Oreochromis niloticus: one gene and its partners. The protein of the gene in region 1 interacts with the protein of each later gene in a biochemical or structural test. Links are inferred from orthologs where the notes say so. Each region holds a gene or a part of one and is shown in the gene's direction. Other genes may lie near its edges.

The links.
Region 2: the proteins of gtf2f1 (region 1) and gtf2b form a complex in vitro, tested with the Homo sapiens proteins (3 studies listed by BioGRID and IntAct). The link is inferred for Oreochromis niloticus from reciprocal best matches to the Homo sapiens genes GTF2F1 and GTF2B.
Region 3: the proteins of gtf2f1 (region 1) and gtf2e1 form a complex in vitro, tested with the Homo sapiens proteins (3 studies listed by BioGRID). The link is inferred for Oreochromis niloticus from reciprocal best matches to the Homo sapiens genes GTF2F1 and GTF2E1.
Region 4: the proteins of gtf2f1 (region 1) and cdk9 form a complex in vitro, tested with the Homo sapiens proteins (2 studies listed by BioGRID, with this or other methods). The link is inferred for Oreochromis niloticus from reciprocal best matches to the Homo sapiens genes GTF2F1 and CDK9.

Annotation. Positions count from the first base shown.
Region 1 is NC_031969.2:16,047,341-16,055,139, reverse strand, and holds the start of gtf2f1 (general transcription factor IIF subunit 1), read left to right. Parts: upstream 1-4,869; intron 4,870-5,131; 5' UTR 5,132-5,198; intron 5,199-5,458; coding exon of another isoform or gene 5,459-5,644; intron 5,645-6,888; coding exon of another isoform or gene 6,889-7,064; intron 7,065-7,160; coding exon of another isoform or gene 7,161-7,274; intron 7,275-7,360; coding exon of another isoform or gene 7,361-7,523; intron 7,524-7,619; coding exon of another isoform or gene 7,620-7,649; intron 7,650-7,773; coding exon of another isoform or gene 7,774-7,799. Other genes in the region: adhesion G protein-coupled receptor E1, read right to left, coding at 245-272; adhesion G protein-coupled receptor E2, read right to left, coding at 1,784-1,855, 2,020-2,085, 2,770-2,929, 3,968-4,059, 4,162-4,228, 4,331-4,572, 4,666-4,869, 5,459-5,644 and 5 more. UniProt on the Homo sapiens protein: TFIIF is a general transcription initiation factor that binds to RNA polymerase II and helps to recruit it to the initiation complex in collaboration with TFIIB. It promotes transcription elongation.
Region 2 is NC_031982.2:10,684,426-10,692,261, reverse strand, and holds the start of gtf2b (transcription initiation factor IIB), read left to right. Parts: upstream 1-4,826; 5' UTR 4,827-4,948; coding exon 4,949-4,965; intron 4,966-7,836. UniProt on the Homo sapiens protein: General transcription factor that plays a role in transcription initiation by RNA polymerase II (Pol II). Involved in the pre-initiation complex (PIC) formation and Pol II recruitment at promoter DNA.
Region 3 is NC_031987.2:1,404,368-1,411,425, forward strand, and holds the start of gtf2e1 (general transcription factor IIE subunit 1), read left to right. Parts: upstream 1-4,047; 5' UTR 4,048-4,177; coding exon 4,178-4,191; intron 4,192-4,624; coding exon 4,625-4,936; intron 4,937-5,029; coding exon 5,030-5,187; intron 5,188-7,058. Other genes in the region: granzyme F, read left to right, coding at 152-299, 415-687; rabl3 (rab-like protein 3), read right to left, coding at 1,152-1,208, 1,303-1,341, 1,598-1,669, 2,028-2,178, 2,273-2,387, 2,475-2,604, 3,091-3,182, 3,786-3,831.
Region 4 is NC_031972.2:34,704,970-34,712,149, reverse strand, and holds the start of cdk9 (cyclin-dependent kinase 9), read left to right. Parts: upstream 1-3,991; 5' UTR 3,992-4,105; coding exon 4,106-4,146; intron 4,147-4,284; coding exon 4,285-4,398; intron 4,399-6,076; coding exon 6,077-6,158; intron 6,159-6,247; coding exon 6,248-6,338; intron 6,339-6,418; coding exon 6,419-6,585; intron 6,586-6,673; coding exon 6,674-6,845; intron 6,846-6,929; coding exon 6,930-7,078; intron 7,079-7,164; coding exon 7,165-7,180. Other genes in the region: fpgs (folylpolyglutamate synthase, mitochondrial), read right to left, coding at 1,028-1,264. UniProt on the Homo sapiens protein: Protein kinase involved in the regulation of transcription.

The DNA of each region.
Region 1 (7,799 bases):
TAAAGTATTGTAAACATTGACTTAAATTTACACATATCTTTATGAAATGCTACTTGAAGTAGTCAGTAATAGTAACTGTTTAGAATTTACCATTATTTGAATAGACATATGTCTCTTTGAATCCAGAATCTAAACTAAAATTTGTTCCATCTTAATAATCTAGTTTTCTCATTAAAATTAGCACTGACATCAATTTAATACCTTCAGTTCCAAAAAGTTTATTTTCTCTGTCAAATTCACTTACCCAGAAAAAGTGACAAGACACAATCCATAGTGACAAGTCAAGTCAAGTCTCCAGATCTGTTCTGAATGTTCACATTGTAAAACATGAACAACACCCAAATATTGCTTTTAAAAGCATTATGTGAATGCAAAAAGCAATGCAAATTCACCAACTTGTGTTGACTATGTTAAGGACCTAGGAAAGATACACACAATGTGACATGCAGGACTTTTATGTCTTTTTCATGTTAAACAAAAAAAACCTGTCAGATTTGTGAAGCATTTATTCTTTTCTTTAGTTCCTTTCTCAGATCTCAAAGACAATGAACACAGTTATACTTAAAATTCCCAATACTGTTAAAATCTGGACCAAATCAATTTAGAGACTAAGGACTTTTAAAATACACTTCAAAATTTATCAAATAGCTATTTTATTTGTGAAATTAAAAAACAGGGGCTGTCCTGCTTGTCATTCTTTTTCTCTAGTCCATCTCGTATTTCTGATCTATTGAATATTTGTCCTTTCACACAAAAAAAACATTTCAAGCTTTCAGTCAAAACCTGCATCAGAGCTCCCTCCTACTTCGAGACCAACCGTATCAGTGTTTTGTGTATGCTAATTCATATGTATACGATCAGTGCCTGCATTTGCTTTATGTTACCAACTACTCCTCCTTCAGCCTCCACCAGCACCCTACTGTGTGCTCTCGTCAAGCTGCAGTAATCATGGCACCTGCATGAAAAATGTAGTCATACTGTGCGGCTGTGTTTCAGGCCTGTAAAAAGGGCAAGACTCCTTCCTTTCCTCATGCCAAAAAGGCACCCATGAGTAAACCGTATTATGGGACACTGATAATTAGTGACCAACTTTCTTCCTCCTAAATTCTAAATTAAAGTAAATAATGTATTTACTTTAAATTCATTTAAAAGGTCAAAAACAGAACTTTGGGTGTCAGGTAACTTTATTGAGTCAAATTAAGCAGTATGTAAATTCCACAACCAAGCACTTTAATAGCATTAAAAGGAGTATATTGCAATCCTGTAAAACTGTATTACAAGCCAGTTGTACAATAGTTGACTCCACCCACTGAATCAATCATTGGTCAATCGTTGATCAATCGTCATTAAGCAACTTTAAGTAAGCAAAACTAAAACTTAAGTAAGCAAATGTTTGCTTAACAACTAGATTTATTAAAGAAAAAAGGCTGTCCAAACCCTCCTGGTCCTGTGTGAAAAAGTTATTGTCCTCTAGCCCTAATAACTGGTTGTGCAACCCAAAATCTGATGTATGATTTGGGTGCACCTATATCTGGCCATAACCTTTTCAAAATAAAGGTGAACATTTGGGAGAAAAACTTGGGACATTTAATCAGCAAGTAGTAGTTTAAAATACTTTCTAAATATCGAAAAGCACAAGTATTACATAAAATGCACTAATTTTTCATGACAAAAGAACTTACAAGGTAAATTCACAGTACAAATTGAAATATTTGAAAAGAAAGTAAAAAGTTATTAGCAGAAAAGTAGATAAATCTTCTATTTCTTCCATGTTTCCCGTCACTTATTTATCAACATCAGCTGATGTTGACGTCTGAGGGATGTCCAAGTCCTCGGAAACTGATGGTACATTTTTCTGTCAAAAAAGTAGTGCTGATACTTTAGAAGAACTAAAAAACATTTTTAGAAAAGGTTTAAATTTATTACAAGCAAAGCAACACTTTATGCAGTCACATTTACAACACAGGTAGGCAAAGTGAAAAAGTCTCATTGGTCAAGTGGCTGCTATGCAAAACTTACCACTGAGCCGCCTTCTCTGGTCTTGTTGAACGAACAGGTCAGCCATTTGACATACTCATCTCTAATCTAGAATATGAAATAAATGCACACTTTGAAAAATAAATTAATTTACTCTCACCATAAAACTCGTAAAAAAATACCACTAATATGTTGTAAATAGAGATGATGTTAAATCACAGAGCAGGTCATTATTAAACAAGAGTTTTCAAACTGTGGTGCATGCCCTATAGCTAGATCCATAGAGCCACAGAGCCATTGCTAGTGGGGCAGAGTTTAGCTTTTATTTAACTACATTTAACTTAAATCTTTTTTTTTCTCTTATAAAGAACACATCTATTCGCTTCCGCTTATCCTTTTCAGGGTCACGGGGGGCGCTGGAGCCTAGGGCGAGAGGCAGGGTACACCCTGGACAGGTCGCCAGTCTGTCGCAGGGCTAACACAGAAACAGACAACCATTCGCACTCACATTCACTCCCGCATTCACGCCTATGGGCAATTTAGATTAATCAATTAACCTATCCCCACTAAGTGCATGTCTTTGGATAGTGGGAGGAAGCCGGAGTACCCGGAAAGAACCCACGCAAACACGGGGAGAACATGCAAACTCCACACAGAAAGACCCCGGCCTGATAGTGGAATTGAACTCAGGACCTTCTTGCTGTGCAGCATTCTTATGAAGAATGAATTATAAAAAGTTTGACATATAGTATGTGAGAAAAATGTTAAGAAACACTGGTATAACGAGTCTACCTCTTTGTTGAGGACACAGTGGACAATGTAGAGAAAAGTACCCTGCTGGGAGTTCAGAACTATAAAAACAACCTGAAAGAACAGGTTTGTCTGGTACAGGCCAAGAATCCAGGTACAGCCAAGTATAACAAACTGGGCCAATATCTTGAACAAAATCAACCTGCAAACAGAACAACAAAGTTTTTACAGTTCTTTACAAAACATTGGAGCAGGATGTTAAATAAAATCACATCAGTATGCTAAATGAATTTATTTCTCTACTGTAACTGCACTTATAGTCAAACAGGATGACATATTTAGTCTCTAGAGATGAACTGATTGTCTGGCAAGGGAAAGGTATCTCCCAATTTCCAGTCTTCTCCGGCCCAGAAGGGGGACTGGCTGGTCAGCGTCTTGCACATACATTTCATGAGCAAATTGTTACAAACTACTATTTCTACACACTCACAGTGCACAAATAAAAAACTATTTACTTGCACATGGAAAAGCATGCAAATAGTTGTGCACACACTCACAGGCGCATGCCAACAAGTTGCCAGCATGGAAACTCCCCACCACGAGTGAAGACACAAAGTTCGCCAAAGTAAACCACCATAGAAAATGTTTGTTATGACAAACCTGATCAAACACTTAATTGTGTACTTTTTAAAATTAGCCAACAAATGAAAAGTGACTCAAGCTAAACTATTCACAGCTCAGAACCAACCACAAGTAAGAGAGTCAGGCAAGAGCTGTGAAAGGAAAATTACAGACAGGTGAGAAAAAAGAGAAAAGGGTTGATGTGCTCTGATCTAGTGAATTCATAAGTATACGGGAAAATGATGCAAGTATCTGATATAAAGGTGGATATACAGCAGCTAATTTCTATTCAATTAGTAGCGTGCTTGACAGAGAAAATCCTGTAACTTACTCAATTTGGACCAAAAGTTTAATAAGCTTAATATTTTTTATTATGCAAATAATATTTTGTGTTGAAAAAAGTTGATTTTCTTTCTATATAATGTCAATTGTAGTTGAAATAGGGAAAAATCTGTGTTGTCATTTAGCAAATAATCAAAATCAGAATGGAAATTGCAATTAGTCTCGAGTCTCTACTGAGTGACATTTTTTTTTAAAAGCTGCTTTAAGTACACAAAAATCATAATGATTACTCAGAATTTGAGCTTGCTCTTTAAATTAAATAAAACCTTAAACTTACTTTGTATCTTTGGACTGAGAGATATCACTTTTTATGTTAGCCAAGGTGGGCCGCAGACTCCATAAAGTTGCACCAAACAGGATGCAATTAAGCTGATAAAATAAACAGATTTATAATTTAATTTTGAGACAAATTATGACGTTAAGAAAAGACATGTAATGTGTAATACAGTTCTAACACAAAAATAGACACACAGCAAGGATCGCTATCACTGGCCCTGTTAAAGCCCATTTGAAGTTTCGTTCTTCTGACAGCCAGCATCTACAATGAAAACGCACATTAGAGACCATTATCCAGTCTTGTACATTTAGTAATAAAAGGATTTAATACATAAATCTGTGCATTGCACCGTGTCCGACTTACACATTAGCCTTAGTACGTCCATATCCATCAGAATAGATCAGTGCAGAAACACCAACAATCACAAATGGAACACCATAGCCAATCAGATAGAGAAGAGGCCTGGGGAGACCATCTCTTTGAATGACTTTCACCTGGGAGAGCCTTCTAACCAACAGGTGGAGCTGTAGTGCCTCCAGCAACATCCACACAAAACTGGCAACAATAAAGAAGTGGAGAAGCCCTGCCATGACAGTGCAGGCCAGCTGTAGAGACGGATAAATGAATGTAAGCTTTATGGACAACTGGAACACAATAGAGAATCCTTTGATAATTCTTGTAGTTTAGCCACGTTGTACCTTATTATCAGTGTATTTGTCATTCCAGAGCAGGAGGAGTTGCGAAAAAGCCAGGTTGAGGCAGAGGTGGAGACGGGCAGTATTGTTAATTTTGGGATTCCAGCTGCACAGAAGGAAGGTAAGGATGGCCAAAGCCAAAAAGAAAAGTCCAATAATCACACATATCCGGTTCAGCCACTCTAAGAAGTCATTCTGTGGCACAGGCTGAAAATGAGATACATGGATGCAGATGAAAATGGATGGCTTTTTAAAATGCTTTAAAGCTGACAAATGTCTAAGATCCAGGTGATCCATTTCAGACTTAATCCAAGTTGAAGATTTTTTAAGAGCAATTTTTAGGTTGTGTATCTTTCTAATTCTGCAGTAATGATTCTTGTAATGATTCCACAAGTCCACAGTTCAATTTACAGTTCAGTTTTTGGGACCCTATTTCAATTTATAGTCCTTCTGTTATTTCTCCCTTCAGTCCATAGACAATTCCCCAGGTTTGATAGCATATGCCAAGAAGTGTGGGATAACCTGTCTAAAACTGGGTATGTAAAGTGTACTATACTTGTTGACAAAGCAGTTTGACAGAATACCGAATTAAAGTTCTAGAGAAATTTTGACTGATTACAAAACATTTTTTTTCTTCCACTTAAAATGTAAAAAGGGATTTAACCGCTTATATACACTGCATGTTTCCATTTGTCAAATTGTGGGTTGTGAATTTAATAAAATCTGAAAAATGTACAAGTATGTTAAGTCCTGTAAGTAATGAGGCTTCAACCTTACCAACATGTAACTAACATACCTCCCCAATCTGCATTATGAGAGCAAAGGTAGAAAGGTGAGAGCAGCTACAAACAGTGTAGTTTTTTTGAGAGTATGCAACCCAGCAACCCTCTTTTGACCAACGCATTGTCTCTCCATTCTGTCCACCTTCGGCTTCTCCAGCTTCCCAGTACACACAAGTGACCATTCCATTTTCTGGTACTTCCTAAAAAAAATAAATAAATAAACAAAGGCAAGAATAAAAAGTCTGATTCTTTTTCAATATAATATGTGAAAAGTGTTTGCCCCCTTCCTGATTTCCTAGTGTCTTGCATATTAAGCACAAATGTTAATTTTGGTCAAAGAGAGTAAGACATCATACCACAATCTAAAGAAACAACTGAGAAACAAAGTCACTGATAGCTATGAGTCTGGAAAGCTTCCTGCTTCCTCATGGAGTGACTGGGCTACCAAAATTACTCCAAGAGCACATTCACAACTCATCCAGGACATCACAAAAGAACCCAGAACATCATTAAAGAACTTCAGGCTTCACATGTCTCAGTTAAGGTCAGAGTTCATGATTCAAGAATAAGAAAGAGACTCGGCAAAAATATCATCCACAGAAGAGTTCAAGAAGTAAAACACTTCTGACCAAAAGGCTCATCTCACCTTTGCCAAAAAAAAAACCCATCTTGATGATCTTGAGGACTTTTTGGAAAATATTCTGTGGACTAATGAGACAAAAGGAGAGGATTTTGGAAGATTTGAGTCCCATTACATCTGGGGCTGTTTTGGTGCCTTAGGACCTGGAAAACCATGAATGCTGCTGTCTACCAAAATATCCTGAAGGAGAATGTCGGCCATCTGTTCAAGACCTCACTCTAAAGCACGATTATGTTGTTAAAGAATGTTAGCTACCACTCACCGCTTGTCTGCAGGCTTTATTTAAATCTAAAACTTCCACAACAACATTCTGCAGCAGGATAATAAAACACATCAGCAAGTCCACCTCCAGCTTAAGAAAAACTAAATTAAGACTTTGGAGTGGCCAAGTTAAATTCCTGACCTCAATCTGATTGAGACGCTGTGGTACGACGTTAAAAAGGTGGTTCACACTCAAAAACCCTCCAATGTAGCTGATTTAAAACAATTCTGCAAAGATGAGTGGGCTAAAATTCCTCCACAGAGCTGTAAAAGACTCATTGCCACTTATTGCAATGCCTGACTACAGTTGTTGCTGTTAAGGGTGGCCCAGCCAGTTATTAGGGTTAGGGGGCAATCACTTTTTTTTCCCTTAATGACAAACACCTACACTTAGACATTGCATTTTGTATTTACTTGCGTTATCTTTGTCTATTATTTACATTTGTTTGATGATCTGAAACATTTAAGTGTGACAAACATACAAAAAAAACAGGAAAACAGGAAGGAGGCAAACACTCTATGTGTACAATCTTGATGCTACACCTTCTTGTGTTGAATTGTAAAGTTGACAGGCTCTGTGAGGTTGGTGGTGTTTATTCCTGGTATTATGGCAGTTAAAACATCTGAGTACATCTCTGTCACATTCTTGGTTTTGAAGTATTGATGACTGAGAATGCTCTCCATCCCATTTAGCGTCAGAAAGGCGGCTGATATAGAACCTGGAAGTGATCACATCACAAAAAAACCCAACAACAACAAAAACACTGATGTTGATGCACCTGTGTCAGTCATCATTTTTTTAAAAAAGCTCTTACCATTGTTGGCCCTAGCTAGATCCTCCAAGTTGATTTTCATTTCACATTCCTTGGCAGAGAGGGATGAACTCTTGCTGTCATGGCTCAATGAACCAATGGCCACTAGACTCATATCTTGAACACAGATATGCATTCATTATGTTTGTATTTACTAAGAACTCAAATTTGACCTATTAGCATAAGGTTGAGCTTTGTCTTACCCACTGTTGAAGTGTGTACTTCCTTTTTTATTTGCGTCTCAGTCGACGGAGTCATTGCAACAACGAGCTGCTCTGAGAGGCCAAGAATAATACTACCAGTCTCCCCGTCTCCTTCACTGCTCACCTTGCTTGTGCTGGTAAGTGTTCCAACACCTGAAACCATCTACAGAAGACGACTTATTGTAATCAACAAATAAACATGCAAATTAAATGAATGAACTGGAAATATAAAGCTGTGACTCTGTTTGCTTTTCAGTACCATAGATGAAGAAAAGCAGTTTGCAACTGTCTGCAAAGATGTCAAGAACAGAGAAAATTGTGTTAGATAAAAAATAACTACCGTGTTTTCTGTGCATCACGTTACATCGCATTTGTTGTGTAGCATTTACAAGATAACATTTTTAACTACGTACCACATCCGGTAAAAGGACACCTGTAT
Region 2 (7,836 bases), on another chromosome or scaffold:
TATTTCTACAGTGGAGCCAAATGTTTACTCAGAGTAAGTAACACCATCTTGTGATGGCTGTGTTTGCACAAAGAGAAGTGAATGAAAAAAGACAGCGGACTCACTTAACCTTCTGATCTCACAAAGTGCTGTTACACAACTCCCAGTCACTCCATGACCACCTTTATAACCATTCATATGGTTTAAATTTGGCCACTGCCCTCATGCCAAACCTGCTTTGGTTTATGTGACTGTGGCGAGGATTATGGCCGGTGTGGTGAGGCTTACAAGTGGCATAAATTATTCAGCATGGATCTCCGTCTCAGATTTCTAAAGAATGCGCTGCACAACATCACACTCTTGCGTCAGCCTTTGCATTAATCAGTGAAATAACTGCACATGTATACATTTGAGGTCCCTATGTAGAAGTAGGAAAAATAAACAGTCATTCAGCTTCTTTCAAAGCCACAAAGCACCAACAAAGACAAACAAACAGACCTGTTTCTATGGCAGTTAATTTCCCCCATATGCACATACAGCTCTCACCCACACACAAACACACGCGCACACAGAGTGGAGAGGGAAATTCAGCCTTTGGTTAGTTAGACTAACTAATCTAATGCTAGCTATGTGCTGGGGGAGGGCTTGGGATTGGTGGATGAATGCAATCAATAAAGATTTGTTGGATATACTTAGAGAAGAAAATGTAGTAATATGACAGTCATAAAGAATGATAATGTGGTGATGCAGCAGGAAAATGATGGATAACAACCTCTGAGGCCCTGAGGTAGTTGTTACTCTTTGTGCATCTGCATGTGTTTGAGACAAAGAAGCAGACTGAGCACATTACCATTTTTATGTCATTATGCTGTGACTTGTAACAATATCTCCAAGTGGAATCTGCACAGAAACAGCTGGCCCATTCAAGGGTTTTCGCTATCAGTGATATTAAAAAGCACGAGTCAGGCAAACATTTCACTAGAAAGACAAAGATTATACTGAAAGACAAACAAAAATATTTGAAAAGGCTTGGGGGGCATTTTTGGTCCATTGTAAAAGATTTGAATATAACAGAAGATCAGTCATTCCAGTAATTTGGTGAAACGGTATTTAATCTTGACACTGAACATTTCTTTACAATTTGCTTCCAAGGAGCCAGACGTTTCTTGTTTTTTTTTTCTTGAGCAATGGCTCGCCAGACTAAACACGGACTTATGAATCATTAAAGCATATAAAACGCACTCTGAATGACTCAAGAGATGAAATGAGTTGTGTCCACACATAACAGACAGCTTAGCAAAGTGTCAATTTTAAGTTAAATTTCTAGGCACTTTATTACTAGCAGCACATCACAAAAATCATACAATCTGTTCTCATTTCTTTAGCTGAATCTTCAAAACGCACAGGACATGAGAGCTGCATCTGACTTTTCAGTTGATCCATCTAATGTTCTCTGAAGCCTCATCAGAAATGGTCTCAGTGGAAGTGTGGCTGTCAAGAAGCCATTCTTATGGAAGTGAAACAGAGAGAAAAGGCTGAAGGAGCACTTAAAGCCACGTATGAAGCCTGATAATTTGGGCTGTTTTGAAGGTGTAAAGTGAAAGATATTTTCAAAGGTTAAAGGGATCTTGAGTAAGAAAAGCATTTTGTAACCCCATGCCATAGCCTGCTTAAGTGTAACCATTTTCCGCTTGCAGCAGTGCGTCTCTAATGGAGTAACCAGCACAGTCATAAACCTCACAGGCCGCTGAATTCTGCACATGTATGTATGTATGTTATATTTGTCATTGTTAGTAAATTACCATTAAGAGGGACATTTTCCTGTTGGTCTTCTTTTATGTTTCTGCTTTGCCTCTGTTTTGATCATTGCTAATAACATTTTTCAAATATTCATAAAGCTATTGCATATTAAAAGATTTATAAACGCATCACATGAGGCCATGTTTCAGGCAAATATCATTTGTGCAGCAAAAAATGAGATTATCTCGCTGTGCACAGCTGTCCTCTGTATCATTTCCTGAACAACCGAAACACATTGGAGTGTTCTTTTGTTTTTTTTGGTTCTTTTGGTAGGATAACCATACAAAAGCTTTTTTTCAACGAGCCAGAATCAGCCATGCTTTGCAGATATAAGATGTATACACTCATCAAAGAGTTACAGTCTCAGAGTCGTGGTACTGTTCAAGCAAACCTGAACCAAATCATGCTGAATGATAACCAATAACTGTAAACATGGTAAGTATTGCAGAGCTCTCGTAGCATGTGCATATTCCACACCTCAGTCACTGCTTTTATTTTTTAGCTCCATCTGGTGTTGTCCTGATGCACACTGACTGTCCTGGCTTATGTGCTGATGTAATGATAATGCAGTAGGTGCAGACTGCAGCTGAAAGCATTTTCTTTAAGCAACAGACATTAATATAAGTTGCAAACACAATTGTATTTGTGTTTATCTCACTCAGGTTTAGTTGCCTCAGATCCTTGCCTTTGTTATTTTGCTACCACAAAACCTGACCAAATCATATGAGTCTTTGCGACTGTGGTTTCCTGCATATGCCAAAGAATTATTACACAGACTGGTACTGAGTCACACAGACAAACTGACAGCAATCTGGCAGACCTTTGTTGCCTCTTATGAAAAGAAAAAAAAACTGTGCAGTTTAAAGATTTGTTTTAAATAAAGAAGTTTGAAAGATTCAGTTAACTTTTCTCAACTATTGAGCCACTGATGGGTTTGTGTTACAACACAGGCTAACCACAATCACAATTTGTGTCACAGTCTGGTGCAATGTGAGGTTTGTATTTGTTAGGTTATGCAGTACCATGTGTCTGTTGCATAGGCTGTTTTGGCCGGTAGTTAAAGGTTTGCTTTAGTGGTCTATCTGACAGTGTGAGGGGTATAGTCTACAATGAATGAAGTTCAACATAGCCAGGATTTCTTTGTGTTAGCTGGCTCGACACAAAACCAGAGATAACGGGATAGGAGGAGACAGCCGATATTGCTGGGCTTTTCTGCCTTGCGGATCCATTAGCCCTAAGGTTCGAGTAGGCCTACTCTCTGTGGTATCCTCTTACAGGAAAAAATTCGAAGATCACCACATAGTCACCAACACTTCCAAGTACGAAAAGGGACAGTGCCAATTATCACCACTTTTGGTAAAGAACAGTGGGCCCATGACCCTTCTTTCTCACAAAATGATCCCTATGAGTGCCTCCAATCAGAGATAAAAAAACAAACAAACATTAAAAATATGACAGTGAAACTTTAACCTGCATACAATTAGACATTAAAGGCTTATGATTCATGGCAAACTACCAGACTCAATGTTATGTATTTTATTTGTAGCAGTTAAAAAGGACAAAGCTGTAAAATTGAGTTGCACTAGCCAGTATTTTATCTAAGGTGCTAGAAAAAATCTTGTTTGATAGAGTTAGTGTGTTCATCTCTTCCCTGGATAATCAGTTTGGCTTCAAACCAAAGCATGGCACGGACATGTGCATATATGCACTCAAGGGAACAGTCAGTTTGTATAGGTCCTAAAATTCATCTGCCCTTATGTGTTTCATTGATGCCTCTAAAGCTTTTGATCGAGTGAACCCTGGAAAACGTTTTGATAAATTGAAGCGACGGAGAGTTCCTGGATAGATTGTGAGGATTCTGTCTTACTGGTACGCTCATCAGAAGATGCAGGTTAATGGGGAAGTGGCATTTCTGCCCCCTTTGGTGTTAGCAATAGTGTCAGACAGGGTGGGATTTTGTCTCCAATTTTATTTAATTTATATGTTGATGATGATTGTCCATACAGCTGAGAACCTGTAACACTGGATGTATATTAGGTGAAACATTGATGAATCATCATATGTATGCAGATGAACTGGTTGTTTTTAGTCCAAGTAGTGCTGGATTACAGTAGCTTCTTAATATTTGTACTGAATATGGTGTGCTATATGATATAAAGTACTACGCTGTTAAAAGTGCTATCTTGACATGTAGAACAAAGCAAGATAAACAGCTAAATTTCCTTGTGTTTAAACTGTCCGACGATACTCTTGAGGTTCATAAAAGGTGAAATACCTTGGTCACTTTATTACTGATTAAATGAATGATGATGATGATGACATATATGGACAACGTGGAAACTCTTTGTGCAGGCAAATACTATTACAGTATAATTTTAGCAATCACAGAGCTGACAGTGAGTGGTTCCCGTTACTCATTCACTCTGAGGAAGCACGGGTTGAAGTGTTTGTGTATTTATTGATTTCTAAGTAAATGTGTATTTTATGTATATTATGGTTTTATATCTTTCAAATATTTTATTTTTTTAATTAAGGTTTATATGTTGTGTTGTGTTTTGTTGTTTCTTTTGTTTAACTATGGACATAAAGTCTGTCGATAAAGATTGATTGATTGTTACCGTCCCACGGTGTAATGAAGGAGACATGACAGTCACTATACTTTGTCAGTAGTTCAAACTGAAATGAATTTTATTGACGAAATTCGTGGTGTTCTGTGTTTTTGCAGCTGCAGTCAGAAGCAGATTAGAATCAAGCATAACAACATTTATTTATGTTTTTATAGGTGTTTATAATGCATCCACGTTCCTGTGAAAGTCACTTCACACATCATTTAGTGGTTTTAGTACGGTTTGGCGATTAGCCAGATAAACAGACACGTTCATGTCACAGAAAACTCTAACGTTAGGCTGGCTTAGCTCGCGTAACCATTAATGTATTGTCATTGTACATCGTTCTTGACAATAAATGAAAATGTCCAAAAACAAAACAAATATTGCGTATTCATGTGACGCATTTTTACAGCCCAACGTAAAAGAAACTGAAGGCTACCTCTATTTAATTTGGTCTTTTTCTTTTCCCGTACTCATGTGGACACGTGATCAGAAGAGGTTATAAATAGAGGTGCCACACTCATTTGTTTCTTTGATTCTGAGGCAGAGTAAGAAGTGACATGGCCTCTACAAGCCGGTAAGTGATAGAGCCAAGTAAATGTAATACCTATACTTTCTTTGCATGTGGTTCTAAGATGTTAATTCATAAGAACAAATACTGGTGTGCGCCGTGGTTCCTAAAGCTAAAACACTATACGTCCCTGTGCTTACCGATCGGTGTTCGTTCCATTGTGCTATTTGTTAGCACAGCTAGTTAGCTGGCTAGCAGTTAGCCATTAGATGTTACCAGAAGTCGGTGTTTTTGTTGGACAGCGATGTGGTGCTGATGCTCCTGCTTTTTGCCACGTTATCGTCTTTGCATTGTAGACTTGTTTGTCCACATTTCAACTTTTTTCGTGTATTACAATGGTGTGAAGCTGAAACTGAAGCTAATGTGTTGTTGACGTTACCACTCAGTGAGCAGTTGTGAATCATTTGTAAACACACGCAGTTTCCCGTGCAGTCTGTCTACCTTTACACAACAGTGGTCTGACGTACCCTCCTTTAAGCACGTATAATAAATTACTGTAGTTTAGCAAATAATTTCTGCATTCAAAGTTACTAACATTATTGATTTTGCTATCAGTGGCACGGTAAGGATGTGCGTATGAAGGAGTAAAGTGCAGTTGATTGAGCTAATTTGACTGAGAGTTTCACATCCACTCTTTTAATGATTGCTATTGTGAAGTATTTCCCGTTTTCCTTGCAAAATGTAAAGAAGCGATGGATGTTTGGTTTTTTTTCAAATTCAATATTGTACGTATGTAATATAGGGCTGGGTGTCGTCACAGATTTCTAGAATCGATTCGATTCCGATTCACAAGGTCTCGAATGGATTCAATTTGAATCAGGGAAATTTTGCCTCAGACAGTCAGAAATATTATAAATCTTATCATTTATCAGTACATATCCATATTTTTATATCTATAAAAAGAAAGCTGACACTTGTGAGACTTTATCAAAGGTGTAAGCATCACAGCAGATGCCTTTGTGTCAAAGTAACTTAGGATAAAACACAGAAAATCGATAATCAAAACCCACCCCTAATGTAATATAAATCAGAAATCCACCAACAGTGAAGAGATTACCATCCATGATCTAAAAAAAAAGTGGGTTACAGTTTAATTTGCCAGTGACAGAAATGTACATTTGTGTATAACACCTTGTGTGGTTACAGACCCGGAAGGTCATGTATTGACAAGCATCTGTCAAAGAGATGTGGATTTCTCTTGATTAAACAGATAAAAAAAGATACCTTATTTGTTTCATCCACCCTTAATCAGAAACCTCCCACTCTTTGACTGTTCTGTTACTTTTCGTCATTGCGGCAAAGAACAACACCCACTACTCTCACAGATTACCTAAACTAAGTAAGAATGTATATCTCTATATATAACTCAAGAAAATCTCCTTTCAACTAACCGTGAAATGAACATAAATTCTCAGGTTTCTCACACAGGACGTTATTCCTGTATTTACTTTTGTTGCTTCCACCCCAGACACATCTGGCCAGTGAGCGGACTGAACATTCTCATATGATTTGTTATGACCAGAGATGGGCAGTAACGCGTTACTGTAATCTGATTACTTTTTTCAAGTAACGAGTAATGTAAGGGATTACTATTGCAAAAACGGTAATTAGATTACCGTTACTTTCACGTAGGAACGCTGCGTTACTGCGTTACTAAAACCGTGATTTTTTTGAGAGAACGTCTCATGACAGTGACGTAAGCGAGTGCGACGTTCCTGACAACAGCTGTGTGCAGATCATAATATATCGAGTGCGGGACAGAGTGTAGCATGCAGCGTTTAAAGCGTGGAAGTACTGACCTTATTTTGAGTTTGATTCCATAAAAAGTGACAAAAACATTAGTGTCCGTTGTGCGTGGGAAGAAAACTTTTTACAGCGAAAAAAACCCCCTAAACTTCCAAGCAAGCACAGAGTGTACTGCGACGTAATGTGAAATTCACAGAGAAACTCGCGGATTCTTCCACTGACCGCTGCGGCACACCTGCACCAGGGTAAACCTCCGCCTACCCCAGTCCTGCTTTACAGGTGAAAATAGAGCAACAGGACCGCTAGTCTTTGATTTTATTTATTTTCTGCTGTGTTTTACTTGCATCTATTTGAAAGAGTGAGTGTAAACACAAAAACATATTTTATTTTATGAGCTGGAATGTGCAGAAAATAGGTTTAAATGTTAAACAAATTTCTTCCAGTCAGAGAATGTTGCATATAATTAAGTTTTTGCTTAATGCATAAAGTTAAAAGATTAACACTAATAAAACAAGCTTTAAAAAGAGACATTTCCATTTGATTACATTTTGTATGATGGATTATGCAGAAAAATCTATCGCTTTATCACCTATTCAGGTTGTAAATCGTGTTTTTAAAAAGTAACTAAGTAAGTAATTACTTTTGAAAATAAGTAATCAGTAAAGTAACGGGATTACTTTTGGGGGGAAGTAATCAGTAATTAGTAACTGATTACTTTTTTCAAGTAACTTGACCAACACTGGTTATGACACATTTTTTTTATTCGCTTGACATTCACTTGAATTTTTCTGTGTGAAAACAAACCAAAACACGGGGAAAAGCAGCAAGTTTGCAAACTGATCAGCTGAGTCAGACCAGAGTAAAATAATTTTGTGAAAATGCCCTAAAATTTTTTAAGCTTTTTTTTTTTAACGAGATCAGAGTTCAACAATCTCAGGCTCAGTGGGAGAGAGAGTTCCAGAGTCTGAATTGTTTCTCATTTAGTTCTCAGCCTTGTATGATGCACAGCCGACAGGCCCTGATCACATGACTTCAGGGAACCTGCCAGGGATGTAAAAGTTCACTGATGTACAATTGTGCCTGTCCATGCATAACCCTAAAAGTCAAACCCAGGATCTTAACGTGGACGTT
Region 3 (7,058 bases), on another chromosome or scaffold:
TAAGACTGTATGGACCTTCATTTGTGTTGATATTGTGATTCACATCATCTTCAAACATATCTGTCCTTTAACATCTATTCAGTTTTACTTCTATGTCAGTATCAGTGTGACTGCAGACGTTTTTTTGAACATTGTGTTTCTTGTTGTTCAGAGATGAGACCCGGGGTTCTTGCAGCGTGGTGCTCGGAGCACACGACATCAGCAAGAAAGAGAGAACTCAGCAATGCATCCAAGTAGCCGAGTACTACCCTCATCCAGGATTCACTGGACAATACGAATATGACATCATGTTACTGAAGGTAAAACTGTCAAACTTCACGTCAAAGGAAATGTTTAAAGTGACCTGATTCTCTGTGCACTGGGTTCATGTGTTGAACTGATGCAGGAGCAACTTTGACTGATTCTCTTTGACAGTTGAAAAAGAACGCCACGCTGAATAAGTACGTGAGGACCATGGGACTGCCTAAGAAGAACGGGGAAATACCCGCCAACATTAAATGTGCTGTGGCCGGCTGGGGACTAACCAAAGCTAATGGATCTCATTCAAATGTCCTAAAAGAAGCCACAGAGAAGATGCAGTTCAGCACTGAGTGCAAACACATTTGGCAAAAACACTTTAACTCTGGTCACATGATATGCACCAAGTTTACCAGACGGGACGGAGGTGTTTGCCAGGTAATCAAATAACAAAAGCAGCCCAGCAGCTAATAACTCAAATACAGGTTTAGTTTTTTATTCATGACAAAAATGTGCAACCTTTACACAGATCGCTCAATCAGTCTTTCTTTGTAGGGAGACTCTGGTGGACCACTTATCTGCAACACAAAGCCTCAAGGCATAACAGCTTATACCTCATCAAACGACTGTAATGATCCAAGGTACCCGCATGTCTTCACTAAAGTCAGTTCCTTCATCCCGTGGATCAAGCAAACAATGGAGGAGCACAGGAATGATGCCTGAGTCAGAGGAGCAGTAAAGCATATGTTTTAAAAATGTGTGGTCTCATTTATGATGGTGTAATAAAAAGCTCAAAGCATGCCTCTTCATTCTCTGTCCTCAGCATCTTCTTCAAATGTCATTTCCAGCTTTTACAAACTTTTCTAGATTCACTTCCAGCGCGTGTCTGAGTGGGCGGGGTCTGATCACAGGTCTCAGTCATAGTGCAAACTTTTGAAGTTGAACCGTTTTCTGTCTGTGAAGCCAGTCATCTGCAGAGAAAGTGGGAAACAGTTCACCTTCAACCTTTTACCAAAACTGTTACGACTCTGTGACTGGACAGAAATAAAGAGAAAACAAACTGACCTGACTGGGATCTCTGGTGAAATATCTTTTCTCTATTACCTGTTGAAAGGTTTAATATGTGTCAGAACACACGTACATGTCAAGAGAAAGGACTCCCATTAATGTGAGACATTTATCCTCCAGTTCTATGGTTCAAAATACACGTGAAAGCCAAATGATGTTTGTCTCTATTTGTCAGCTTCTGTGCCCTCGATAAATCCACACGTGTAACTACAGCACAAAGACGGAGGCGCACACACGCGTGTGAGTCACGACCTGCCTGACAGACCGCAGTGACACAGGTCACAGCTCTCACCTTGTCAAAGAACCTGCTGAGCTTCACAGCGTTTGAGGTGCCTGCAGCCAGGTATCTGGGGTTGGTGCAGTCCTGGGAAAACAACACAACACTTCAGCCACAAACCAAAAGTGTTCAGCTCTCGCAGTGAAACTGACCCCAGCAGGAGGACCAGACACAGGACAAACAGGAGCTTACTGATGCTGTGATGTTTATGATACATGTGTGTTGTTTTTATTGTTGTGAACTAGAATTTTTCTGTATATTACTGACTGAAAAACATACATGGTGTGGGAGTGTGAGAATCGCCGCTTTATTTTCATCATTAGTCTAGTTTCCTTTTCTATGAGTGTTGACATTGTGCTTTACGTGAGAGATAAACCAATGAATTAAACTGATTTATGTGTTTTAAAGGAGCTGAGAGCTCGTAGAGCAGAAAAAGGCGACTTACAAGATTGATTTCTTCTGCATTGAAGTCTTCAGACAAGAAAGCCGTCCGAGTGAGAACTTCACTGCGCTTGTTTTCTGGAATTTGGTCAAACTTGGTTCCAATCAACAGCAAAGGCACCGGATTCTCTGCAAACTGCTCTCTGTCATAGTCACTGCAGTCAAAAATCAAAGCTTCCACATTAGCCATATTTTCTGTTTATTATTCTGAATGAAGACGGACGATGTCAAACACACAGATCTGCTCACCCGTTTGAGACGATGACTCCAGTTGGAGAGGAATCCTTATTCAAAGCTTCCAGTGACCAGCGGTACAGATTCTGAGAGGACTTCTTATTGGTCAGATCGTGGACCAATATAATTCCTAAAAGAACCCAAACATGACAGAGCATTTCTCAATAACACGTCACTGATGAAATCAATGCTTTCAGATCTGTCTATAACTGTTTACCGTTAACCGAGTTGTAGAAGACTGCTCTGGTGCTTTTGACGCTGCTGGCGCTGCCAACGGATCCTCCAACATCCCAGAGTTCAATGTAGAAGGTTTTCTCCTCTGGGGTTCCCTCCTTATAGTCTTGAACCTGGAGTAGAATAAGTATTTCGACATCGATTCTTCTTCTTTCAACTGCTCCCTTTGGGGGGCGCCGCAGCAGCTCATCTGGCTCCATCTCACTCTTACCTCTCTCCACATGCCTAAACCATCCCAGCCTCGTCCCTCTGATGGACTCATTTCTAAACCTGTCCATCCCGCTCACTCCCACCGAACACCTGAACACCTTCAGCTCTGCCTCCTATCTTTTTGTCAGTTGCCAAACTATACATCATAGCAGGCCTCATTAACTGCCCTCTCACTCTTGCTGCTATCCTTCTGTCACAGATCACCCCTGACACCCCTGACCCCCTGGTATTTAAACCCACCCACCTGTTCCTTTCAGCTTCACTGTTACACCTGTCTCCCTCTCGTTAGTGTGTTCTGTTGTGTTTTATAAGAGAGTAATATAAAGGGCCAGCAGGAAGTCTGACCAAAATTAGGACTATGTAAAGTAGAAGATGCTGGACCTGCTTACCCGCACATCTACAGAGCAGCCAACAGTCCACGATGGATTTCCCAAAACTTGATTCTGACATAGCAGATGGACCAAGGAAGACTTGCCAACCCCTGCAAAGAGCACAAAATGATACTGGATAAAAGAAGCTGATGCAAAGTACAGCAGTGACTGCAGGGTTAAACATTTTTGTGTGGCTGATAGATATTAATGCATTTAAATTATGAATAGACTCTACAGCTGCTGCTGACTGGAAGACAACTGAGCTCCACTGAAACATCGGGTCAGTTTACGACAGACTCGGCTTCCATCAGAGCACATCTCCGGAACAACATCAGTAAGTATCTGTAATGATCTGTAGGGTGTCGCTCTCTGATTCGGCAAAACGTGTTTCTGTGAAATTTAACCTCTTGATGTGGAATCGTTTCATACCCAAACACTTACATCCGCCTGCCGCAAAGTCATGTAAAAATGACGGGTATTAAAATTAAGCATCACTCGCCGATGTACCTTTATTGTGAAAATTACCCGTGAGGTTAGACATGACAGTTGTGTTACGTGATGTTTATCCATAGCTTTAACTGCCACAGCAGCAAACTGACCACAGCGTCAGTCTCCTACTTAAAGATTAAGAGTTTTAATAAGCAAATGTCCTTATAAATAAGAGCAGATGACAGTAGTAAAGGTTTTGCTAGTGAAAATAGTTCATAACTCACCGGAATCTCCCAAAACCAACACTTTTACCCTGTCAAGAGAGGCCATTTTTTGACAGACGCGATCAGGAAGTAAACAGTGTTCTTAAAACCACGCCCCATGAAAACAAAGCCAGGCTATTCGCCAATATGCCCGTCACTCAAGCTTCTTTGCTTCTATTGGCTAGTTAGTGTAGTTTAGTGCAGCTTAGTGCAGTTTAGCGCAGCCGGGCCAACATTCCAGTTGGCCCGGGTTTATTTTTCATTTCCGGGGTCGTCGTCTCAAAATAAGAAGTGAAGCATGTTGGCTAACCCAGCAGCTAAAAGACTGTGAGGTGCGTTTGTGTTCATTGAGTTTTAGCGGTGTTTTTGTGAGTTAACGTCAGTGTATGAGACTCTGAAATGACTGTTGGCACATGAACAATAACCGGTAAGAGTCGCGTTAACGCCTACCGGGTTTCTACCGGCGAACTCAGTGTTAGCGCTTAATTTAAATAAAAGTAACTTTATCGAGCTTTTATTACAGATAAAGTGTGGAATAATAAGATGACTGGTAAAACGATTAACACGCCGCGTTTCTATTGTACTATATTAGATTAAAATGTACAATAACCCCGGCCAACCTGGTGCATTATCTCAGTTTTAGTCTTTGTTTGGATCCACTAACTTAAGCTAAGCTATGCTAAACTGTGATTGATGATTTGACATATCTATAACGGGGATTTTTCTCCCACTGGGTTAATGTGGTCTAGCTTACACTTCCCTCTTAAATTTAAAGTTTTATACTGGAATAACTCTTCTGGCCCTGCTCCTCATCCCTGCCTTCCTGATGTTCTCCCCTGGTGTCGCACTCTGCCCTGCAGCCCTTTCTCTCCAGACCCTAAGATGATTGAACCAGAGGTACTGACCGAGGTCCCCGCAGCTCTGAAGCGGCTGGCCAAGCAGGTCGTGAGGGGTTTTTATGGTGTGGAGCATGCTTTGGCGCTGGATGTGCTGATCCGTAACCCATGTGTGCGTGAGGAGGACATGCTGGAGCTGCTCAAGTATGACCGCAAACAGCTGCGCTCAGTACTCAATACCCTAAAAGCAGACAAGTTTGTGAAGTGCCGCATGAGAGTGGAGACGGCGCCCGATGGCAAGACAACGAGACACAACTACTACTTCATTAATTACAGGTTTAAGTCTCTGCTTTGTGTGTGTTTGTGTGTGTGTGCGGATGATGAACACTTTAGACTCAGTAGTCTTATTTCTTTCTAACGTCTTTTTAGGGTACTGGTCAATGTGGTCAAGTATAAACTGGATCACATGCGACGTCGCATTGAGACAGATGAGCGAGACTCCACCAACCGTGCATCCTTCCGGTGTCCCTGCTGCTTCTCCACCTTCACCGACCTCGAGGCCAACCAACTCTTTGACCCTATGACAGGTAAATGTGCAGACCAGTGCTGGTATGCTGTAATATTCAACACGCTTGGATATTTGAAAGCATTCTGGCAGTTTTACGGGAATTTAGTCCAGCTTTCATGGGATGAATAATTAATTAGAAGCTTCTTTACTGAGGGTGGGGAGAGTTCATATATATTTAAATAGCATGCTGTGTGCACAGAGAAACCTGTCATTTTTGGAGTATTAGGTGCAGTCGGACGGCTCAGAGCGTGGTGCCTCTTTCCCGTAGATCTTCACCGAGTCTTGAACCCTTTCCCATATGGAAAAGATATATATGTGTGTGTGTGTGTGTGTGTGTGTGTGTGTGTATATATATATATATATATATATCTCTCTCTCTTATAAAGTTTGTATCTGTCTTGTGTGAAACTTGTATGAAAAGCATACAAGAGTGAAAAGAGATATAAGATCCCTTGAAAAATTATATAAATGAAACTTGTATGTTTTGGATACTTACTAAAACAATATATGAAAGTGGCCACTTTCATGAGTAAATCATATAAGCCTGATATGATTCACTATATGAAGTAGGCTACATCTGATGCGTCTTTTTATAAGTTTTTTTCTATTTCTTTTCCATATGGGTTGGTTTGGAGCAAGGCCCCAAATATTTCTGCTCCTCAGTATTTTGATTTTAAAACCAAGCATGATGTAACTGAACTCGACGTGCAGTGTCAGTGGGAGGGAGGAGGACACTCTTCATCTTTTTTTTAAAAAAATCAGTAGATACAGAACTTTCTCCCCCTGTGGACGTGTTTGCCCACTTAGCCCCTCTGTGATTATCCTAAATTGGGAAATCTGGTCCTCAGTTTAATTGTAATGTATTTGGAAATATAATATGTAGGTTTGGAAAGGCGAGGCAGGCGCTCACATCTGGCAGTGATTCACATTGGATTTATTGAAATGAGTGTGTCAAAGTTAAATGAAGACGTCAGTATTTCATTGATGCAAGGATCACTTTTTGTGACCTGATGTGTTGTTTTTTGTTTGCACTTCCATTATGTTGTGTGCTCCTCCGTTTACCTCTAGATGGCAGTAACAGCACGTACCAGGATAGATTTAATGACAGGTGGATCGCACAATTCCTCGTAATGAAACTATAGTGTGAACAAACAGAGGATCGTGTACTTTATAGTGATAGAAGCATGATTTTTGTTCATTGTCCATTTAATGCCGAGTTACTTCTAAATTACCAACGCTACATGGACACGAACTGACTCTGTCAATGAAGCTAATGACGTGTACGTGGCCTTGTATAAGCTGCAAGTTGTACACTAACATTCTGCCATGTTAAAGTTCACTTTAAATGTCTGTTATTTAAATAAGGATGAGTCATAAGCCTTAGACATACTTACATATGCTGTATAATGATGTGCTCTGAATGAAACAGACCAAACGTAGGTGACCATGAAACAGTTTGTGGACTTCAAAACCCAGAATTTTCAGTTTTACATCAAATTTAAGTAGTTGGTAATCACTAACTTACAGTGGCCATGATGACACGACCTATAGTTGTCTTTAATGTCTTTTTTTTAGACTGGATGGTACTGGGGGATAATTCAGTCTGGTTTGTCATACTACCTTTTAATTTTAGATCTGAATGAGCAGCAGTAACGACAGATTTACAGTCTGTAGTGATGCTGTCTCGGCTGGCTGTATTAACCAATTAAAGTCACATGCTCATACTGGTTCATCTACTGTATAACATCATCTTAACAGCCAATATTAAAACACTTTGGTTGTCCTCGTCTGTCCCCATCTCCATCCGTGTCACACTGACTCACACCTTCCTTCAGTTTCTCCAAAGTGCAGCTCACAGGGAGGCGCCCACTAAGTTGTGTTTGTGCGTTT
Region 4 (7,180 bases), on another chromosome or scaffold:
CTGTAGAATTATGACAGATTGTGTCTAAAAATAATCTACATATTGAGACCAATAAAGAAGTGGCTTAAACCTTGTTTAATCGCCACCAGGTTCCGACTCCTCTGGTTCTCTATAAACCAGCATTAATTGATTTGTGACTGCAGTGAACACATTCCTGATCAGTTCACTGGGCCAATCAGGAGTTTAAAGTCTTACATAAGAAAATGTGGCGTTTATTTTATGAATTATGGTCATTATTACAGTCACAGTGGAGCCTAAAGCAGGATATGCGCCTCGTCAATCATAAACCAAAGAGCAGGCAGTCTGATCCACCCTGAGCCTGCCGGGTTTCATAACAACACCAAGAGGTCAATGGACAGCTACTTCCATCTTTCACATACAGTCTACAGTTGAAACAGACTCAGAAAATCCTGAAAGATAATTTTGCTGCAGTGACAATAAACTCATTCATTGAGTCTCTTTAATATCTGGCCGAAGGAAATCCATGATGGACGCCAAGTGTAAAATTTCATGTTCCAAATGCTCGTGAAAGCAGCAGCAAGAGGAGATAAAAAGGGTCTTATCTCCTCAATTTTGCATAGAGTGGAGGTCAGACTACGGACAGCTCTGACAGTCCCAGCTCTGAAACTGCGGAAAACTCACATTAACATTACAGGAAACAGCAAAAACACCTGAGTTCATCCAGGAAAAGGTCAGGTGAGCCTGGCACGAGTCAAACTAACAGAAATAACATGGCTACACAGAAATACCACAGCACGTGCCAGCGCAGACTTTTAGCCACTGACACTGATAGTCTCATCGCGACCTGTTAATAGCTGTCCAAGCTAACGTGTAACAGCAGATTCCGGGCAGCCTGCAGCTAACTGCCCTCCTCCCCCTGCTGCCAAAGCGCGCTCCTGTCAGCCATGTTTCCATTAAACTCCAAACAGCCCAAAAACTACCTCCAAACTTTCGGAAACAGCCTCGCTGCTCAGTTAGCTAGCTCGTTAGCCGCTGGAGCACGAGCGGCGGCGGTCACGGAGCGTACCTGATACTCCATTCCCGGGATGTGAGGAGCCGTCTCGGTGCTGTAGTGCCGGCACGAAAGACCCGCCAAACTGAGCGCCCGGTCCCGCCGTGCGAGCCGCGCGGCGATGCCCGAGCCCCGCCGCAGCATGCGCGACATGCACAGCATCATGAAGCGTGAAGCTGTTCCAGGAAGGGGACACCAAATATGGAAGGCTCGTTTTTCAAGCGTAATGACGTCAGAACACGCCCCCGTCATTTTTACTTATTTATAAAAAAAAACGTGAAAACGCAAACAAATAAAAAACACGAACAATAATAAACAATAAATAAGCTTTTCTTAAAAAGAAAATATAAAGTAAGCGTGTTCGATAAGGCCAGGGGGGGCATAATCGGCTGACAGTCTCCAATCCGACCTACTCTACGGTTTTGGAAAATATGAATGTGAAAAGAACAAAACCGTAAGTAATAATAATAATGAGCAAATAAAATATATAATTTTAACGGAAGTGAGCAGAATGGACAGGATTAGAAATGAGTACATCAGAGGGACAGCTTAGATTGAGTTGTTTAGAAACAAAGTTATAGAGGCAAGGATGAGATGGGTTGGAAATGTGCACAGGAGGGAGAGTGACTATATTGGACAAAGGATGATGAAGATGGAACTCCCAGGCAGGAGGAAAAGAGGAAGACTACAGATGAGGGCCATGGATGTGGTGAAGGATAGTAGGTAGGTACAGGGTGAGATGGAGGAAGATGATCCGCTGAGAATCTTGGTTGGAGTTATTTAGTATATAATATATTATATTATTATTATATATTATACGCAATAATATGCTTATAATAAATCATTATAACACTATTAATTTTGATAAATGTTTTCATTTGTTTGTTTGTTTGTTTGTTTGTTTGTTTTTGGCACGGTTGTATCTACAGATTATAAATGGCATGCTTTCATTTTTAGCTGTGGAAATTTTCAGAACGACCTGAGATTAGATCAGTATCAGTATTTTTTTCCTTAAATTAGTTTGATATATGTTTTCATTATGACACATAATCATTATTTATTAATTTACATGAGCATTTTTGCTGCTTTGCGGTCGTCAGAATGTCTTGGTTTGTATTTTCACGTTTATTAATTTATCAATCAGTCCGGTTTGGTGCGGAGAGCGCCCCCATGTGGTGGTAAACTAGTAAGCAAGGAGACCCAAATTTGTACTGTATCTTGACTCATAGTTTTGATCAAACGTTTACAGTTATGTCGGTTTTCTAAGATTTTACCCTTAAATTCAGGGCTAAACCCTGGTGAACAGTAATTCACTGCCTTTCTTTAAAAAAGGAATTGGAAGGTCAAAAACAGGTTTTCAGGGGGATCCTTTGGATAATTTGTCTCTGTTTTGTCTGCTAGAAGTAACTTTCAGGTCATAAAAGCTTTTAAAAAAAACTTTAGATCATTTTGGGGTAAAGCATTTGTTTTAGATCTGGTTAGAAGCACAAACTTTGATCCATTACTACACACATTTTCTCTTTGCTGGGCAGCACTAAACTCATCAGTAGTTGAGATTGTTAACATCTTAAAAATTAGTACCAGTCATTACATCACTCCTCAGGATCCCCCTTTCTTATTTAGGTTTGATGGGATTACGAAATAATCTTGTTTACATACTGCAGAGGCTGGCTGATGATGGGTGGGGTCGGGAGAACCTAAAATCCTGTTTATTATTATGCACTTAACCTCCAGCTCTACTTCAGTACGGTATTTAACAGCCTCATTTTCCTCCATTATCACCTGTGCACAGTCGGTTTGATAAAATACTTTGTGTATTTTCTCTGGTGATTCAGAAACTGGGTAATGAAGCTTTTAGCTCTCAAGAAGACCTGGGACCGTCATTTAAGTTTGAAATGGGATAATAAAAGAGTGGGGAAGGATATTTAGAAACATTCAAATACTTTCCAGTGATGCGAGGGATAATTTCTTCACTTTAAGATTGTGCATTGCTTTTATTGGACACCATACAGATTATGTATGATACTACTGTAAAAATCCTGAGTCTTTTGTACATATGCCATCATTTTGTAATAAAATTCAGGAGTTTGGGACTACAATATATGAAAATATTTGCTTGTTTTGCTGTTTTCCCTGGGAGGTAAGACAGAAATATACTAAGGATCTTACCTAAAAGACTGATCTGACAGTGAAAACTAAAAAACTAATTATTTAGTTTTTCAAATCTGATGATTGGTGCTGGGAGAAGGGGAAGAAGGTGGCTTCCATTTTTGTTGTAAAACAAATGTTATAAATGTTGTAAAACAAATGTTTTAGAACAAACATGTTGAAGTTTTCATTCTCCTCAATGTGCACAGCACAGTCTAGAAATGGCAAACTGTTGTCCTTTGTGTCTTCCCTGGTGAACTGTGGTGTTTTTATCCACAGAGTTGATGTGAACAGTGAAGGATTCGTTCGTTGGTTTTGATTAGTGGTTAAAAACATAAAGTTCAACACACACTCAGAAAAAAACTGGTTAATCCCAAAAACAAAACTCCTAAACACAAATTTAACAATGTAGTATAGGCTAGTGTAGTGAGGAATGCTCAAACCCCTACATTGGAGAGACCAAACAGCCACGCATAAACGCATGGCACAACAGAGAAGAGCCACCTCGATGGGACAAACTCAGCTCCATCTGCATCTAAAGGACAAAGGTCACTCTTTCGAGGATGCCAATGTTCACATTTTGGACAGAGAAGACAGATGGTTTGAAAGAGGAGTGAAAGAAGCCATCTATGTCCACTGTGAACGACCATCTTTGAACAGAGGCGGTGGTTTACGACACCAACTGTCTGCCATCTATAATCCAGTTTTGAGATCCATTCCCAGACGCCTTAAGTATTTTTCATTTGTTTTGATTTATTGTCGCTTCTTTTGGGATTATTTTAGCTTTTTGCCCATTTGTATTTGATTTTGGGTACAATAAATTTAAAAATAAAAAAAGAATAACTAAAGCCCGCCCCCGGATCAGTGGGCGGGGCGTCGCTGAGCTCTAGAGGTGACGCCGTGCGCAGACGCTCCACACGTAACTGCGTCGCGGAGTTGGACAAGATGCAGCGGGACAAGACAAGCAACGCCACCGGGGCTGAAAAGTAAGACTAAATCTATTTACTTTTCAATTTAACAAACGGGTTTGCTTTAGTTTGTTTCACCTGCATTTGAGGCGCGTTCTGTGCAAGCCTTGTTTGATGTAACCACTTTAAAGTCTCGTGAATTTTCCTTTTGTCCAGGCCCGATCGGGAGGCCGCCATCATGTCGAAGTACTACGACGGAGTGGAGTTCCCTTTCTGTGACGAGTTCTCCAAGTACGAGAAAATGGCCAAGATCGGACAAGGAACCTTTGGGTGAGTAGTACACAGCAGGCTGGTTGTCTGACTAAATCTTTAACTGCTTTGCGAATTCCGTATAAACGCCAGCTGTGCTAACTGCTAGCCGCACGGAGTGAATGAAGAGCAAGTAAACAACGGAAGTTCCCTTCCTGTATTAGTCCAGCTGCTTATTAAGGAAGGCATTAGCTGATACCTGTTGTTTCGACATATTTTTTAAAACGTATTTAGTTTGTAAAGTTGCAAAGCTTTCATGGGTTATGGTCTTCTGCTGCGATCAACTGAAACAACAGGGCACAAAGATATGGCACGGGAATAATTTGTGACTGGCTAAATGAGCCACATGCTGAAGACAAACCAGGCTCTATCCATAGAGCACCAAAAAAGACTTTGCGTTCTATTCTCAATGAGGGACAACTCTTCTCCCCTGAGATGGAAGGGAGGCAGCTTGACTTCTGTCCTGATGAGCTGATTCTCCGATGCTGTGCCATGCTTCTGTGGGTGTTTATTCTAGGGCTGGGTATCGTCACCGATTTCTAGAATTGATTCGATTCCGATTCACAAGGTCCGGATTCGATTCGATCCACAGTTCGATTCCAAAAGCTGACACTTGTGAGACTTTATCAGAGGTGTAAGCATCACAGCAGATTCCTTTGTGTCAAAGTAACAGAGCATAAAACACAGAAAAACATGAAGATTTTCCCCGCCTGTCTTTTTATAGCAGATAACCACCTTAAAGATATTCTGCAGTAGAACAAAAACAGAAGAAAACCGTGAATCAACATATCAACATTACCTGATGCGGCTGAAGTGAAGCCGAGCAAAGTTACAGAGGTTCAATTAGAGACACAGCTAAACATTTAGCAATTTTGCATAATTTTAAAAAGTTTAAATTTCTTCAGTATTGAACAGCAGAAATGAGGCTTTCTTGTTGGAAGTCGGTTGAAGAAAAAAACCCCCACACAAACAAAAAACAGCGGCCAACAGCGCTGTACATAACGGTAGACTTGTGCGTAATAAGCAAGCGAATAATGCAGAAAACCGAGATTTTTAGATGGGAAGAGAAGAGATGAAGAGAGCTGTGCATGAAGTGCCATTTTTGTCGTGGTGGAAGCAAAACAGCAAAAGTAAGAGGGAATTCGTGACGATGTTTATGTGAAGCGTAGTTTGGATCCAGACCCGCCGATGCATCAGAGTCTTTGAGCTGTCGGCTTTCAGCCCAGACGGGGTGTCAGTGTACTTGCCATCGGGTGAGAAAGCGGACATCTCACTGATTCTGATGCGTCGGTGGGTTCGCACTTAGGTTTTTAGCTGTTTGGTGGCTGTCGAAATTCTGTGAGGTTTAACCTGAGATTCTGGCGTTTCGGGTAAAATACATTTAAATTTTTTTTAAATTGATTCAGGATTTTAATGAATCAATATTGTGTTATTCAAGCTAGAATCGATTTTAATTGGGAAATCGATAATCAAAACCCACCCCTAGTGTTTAGTCTGTAAAGGTCTGAGTACTCCTGGCGGCACTGCACCACTTACATGATGTTGTGGATGAAGCAGTTCTTGTCTGAAGTGGACTGAGATCATGTCTACCACACAAATGCCAGCAGTGTTGTTTCTCTACCCTACTATAGGTTAGGCTATATACCATTTGAGTTGAGTAGTTTAAAAAGCCGACTGTCTAAAATTGTCTCTTGTACAGGGAGGTGTTCAAAGCGAAGCACCGACAGACAGGGAAGAAAGTTGCACTGAAGAAAGTGCTGATGGAAAACGAGAAAGAAGGGGTAAGAAACCAGAGTCTTGGCATCATTTAAAATCCAGTGTGCTGAAAGTTGGTGTGGATGATAATGTAGCTGGTTTTCCTCCCCTTTAGTTCCCAATCACAGCTCTGAGAGAGATCAAAATCCTTCAACTGCTCAAGCACGAGAACGTTGTCAATCTGATCGAGATCTGCAGGACCAAAGGTTAGTGTGACACGAGTGCATGTTTTGTGTGGATTTCAGTTTTTTGGGGTCTGTTTTTAATTTTCTGTTCTCCTTTTCAGCCACTCAGTTTAACAGGTACAAAGGCAGCATCTACTTGGTGTTTGACTTCTGTGAGCATGACCTGGCTGGGCTGCTGAGCAATGCCAACGTGAAGTTCACGCTGGCAGAGATCAAGAAGGTGATGCAGATGCTGCTCAATGGGCTGTACTACATCCACAGGAACAAGGTTAGACTCTCAGAGACACAGTGTGTACTTAAACCAAATGAAATTCCACTGTCAGAATATTAATGATGATCTGTTGTTCTTTGCTCAGATCCTTCACAGAGACATGAAGGCAGCTAATGTGCTCATAACCAGAGACGGCGTCCTGAAGCTGGCTGACTTTGGTTTGGCTCGAGCCTTCAGCCTGGCCAAGAACAGCCAGGGGAACCGCTACACTAACCGCGTGGTGACGCTGTGGTACCGACCTCCAGAGCTGCTGTTGGGTAAGGAAAAAAAAAAAGTAAAATATATTTCAAATCTACTCCTGGTGCAGTTTTTTAATTTCTGTGTTATCTTTGTTTTTGCAGGTGAGCGAGACTACGGGCCTCCAATCGACCTGTGGGGGGCTGGCTGCATCATGGCCGAGATGTGGACACGGAGTCCGATCATGCAGGGGAACACGGAGCAGCACCAGCTGACCCTCATCAGCCAGCTCTGCGGCTCCATCACGGCAGAGGTGAGCCTTCATTCTTTCTCTCGCACTCTGTTTGTTCTGTTTCTCAGCTCTGTGTTAACTTAACTAACCCTCTGTTGTCCCATCAGGTGTGGCCCGGTGTAG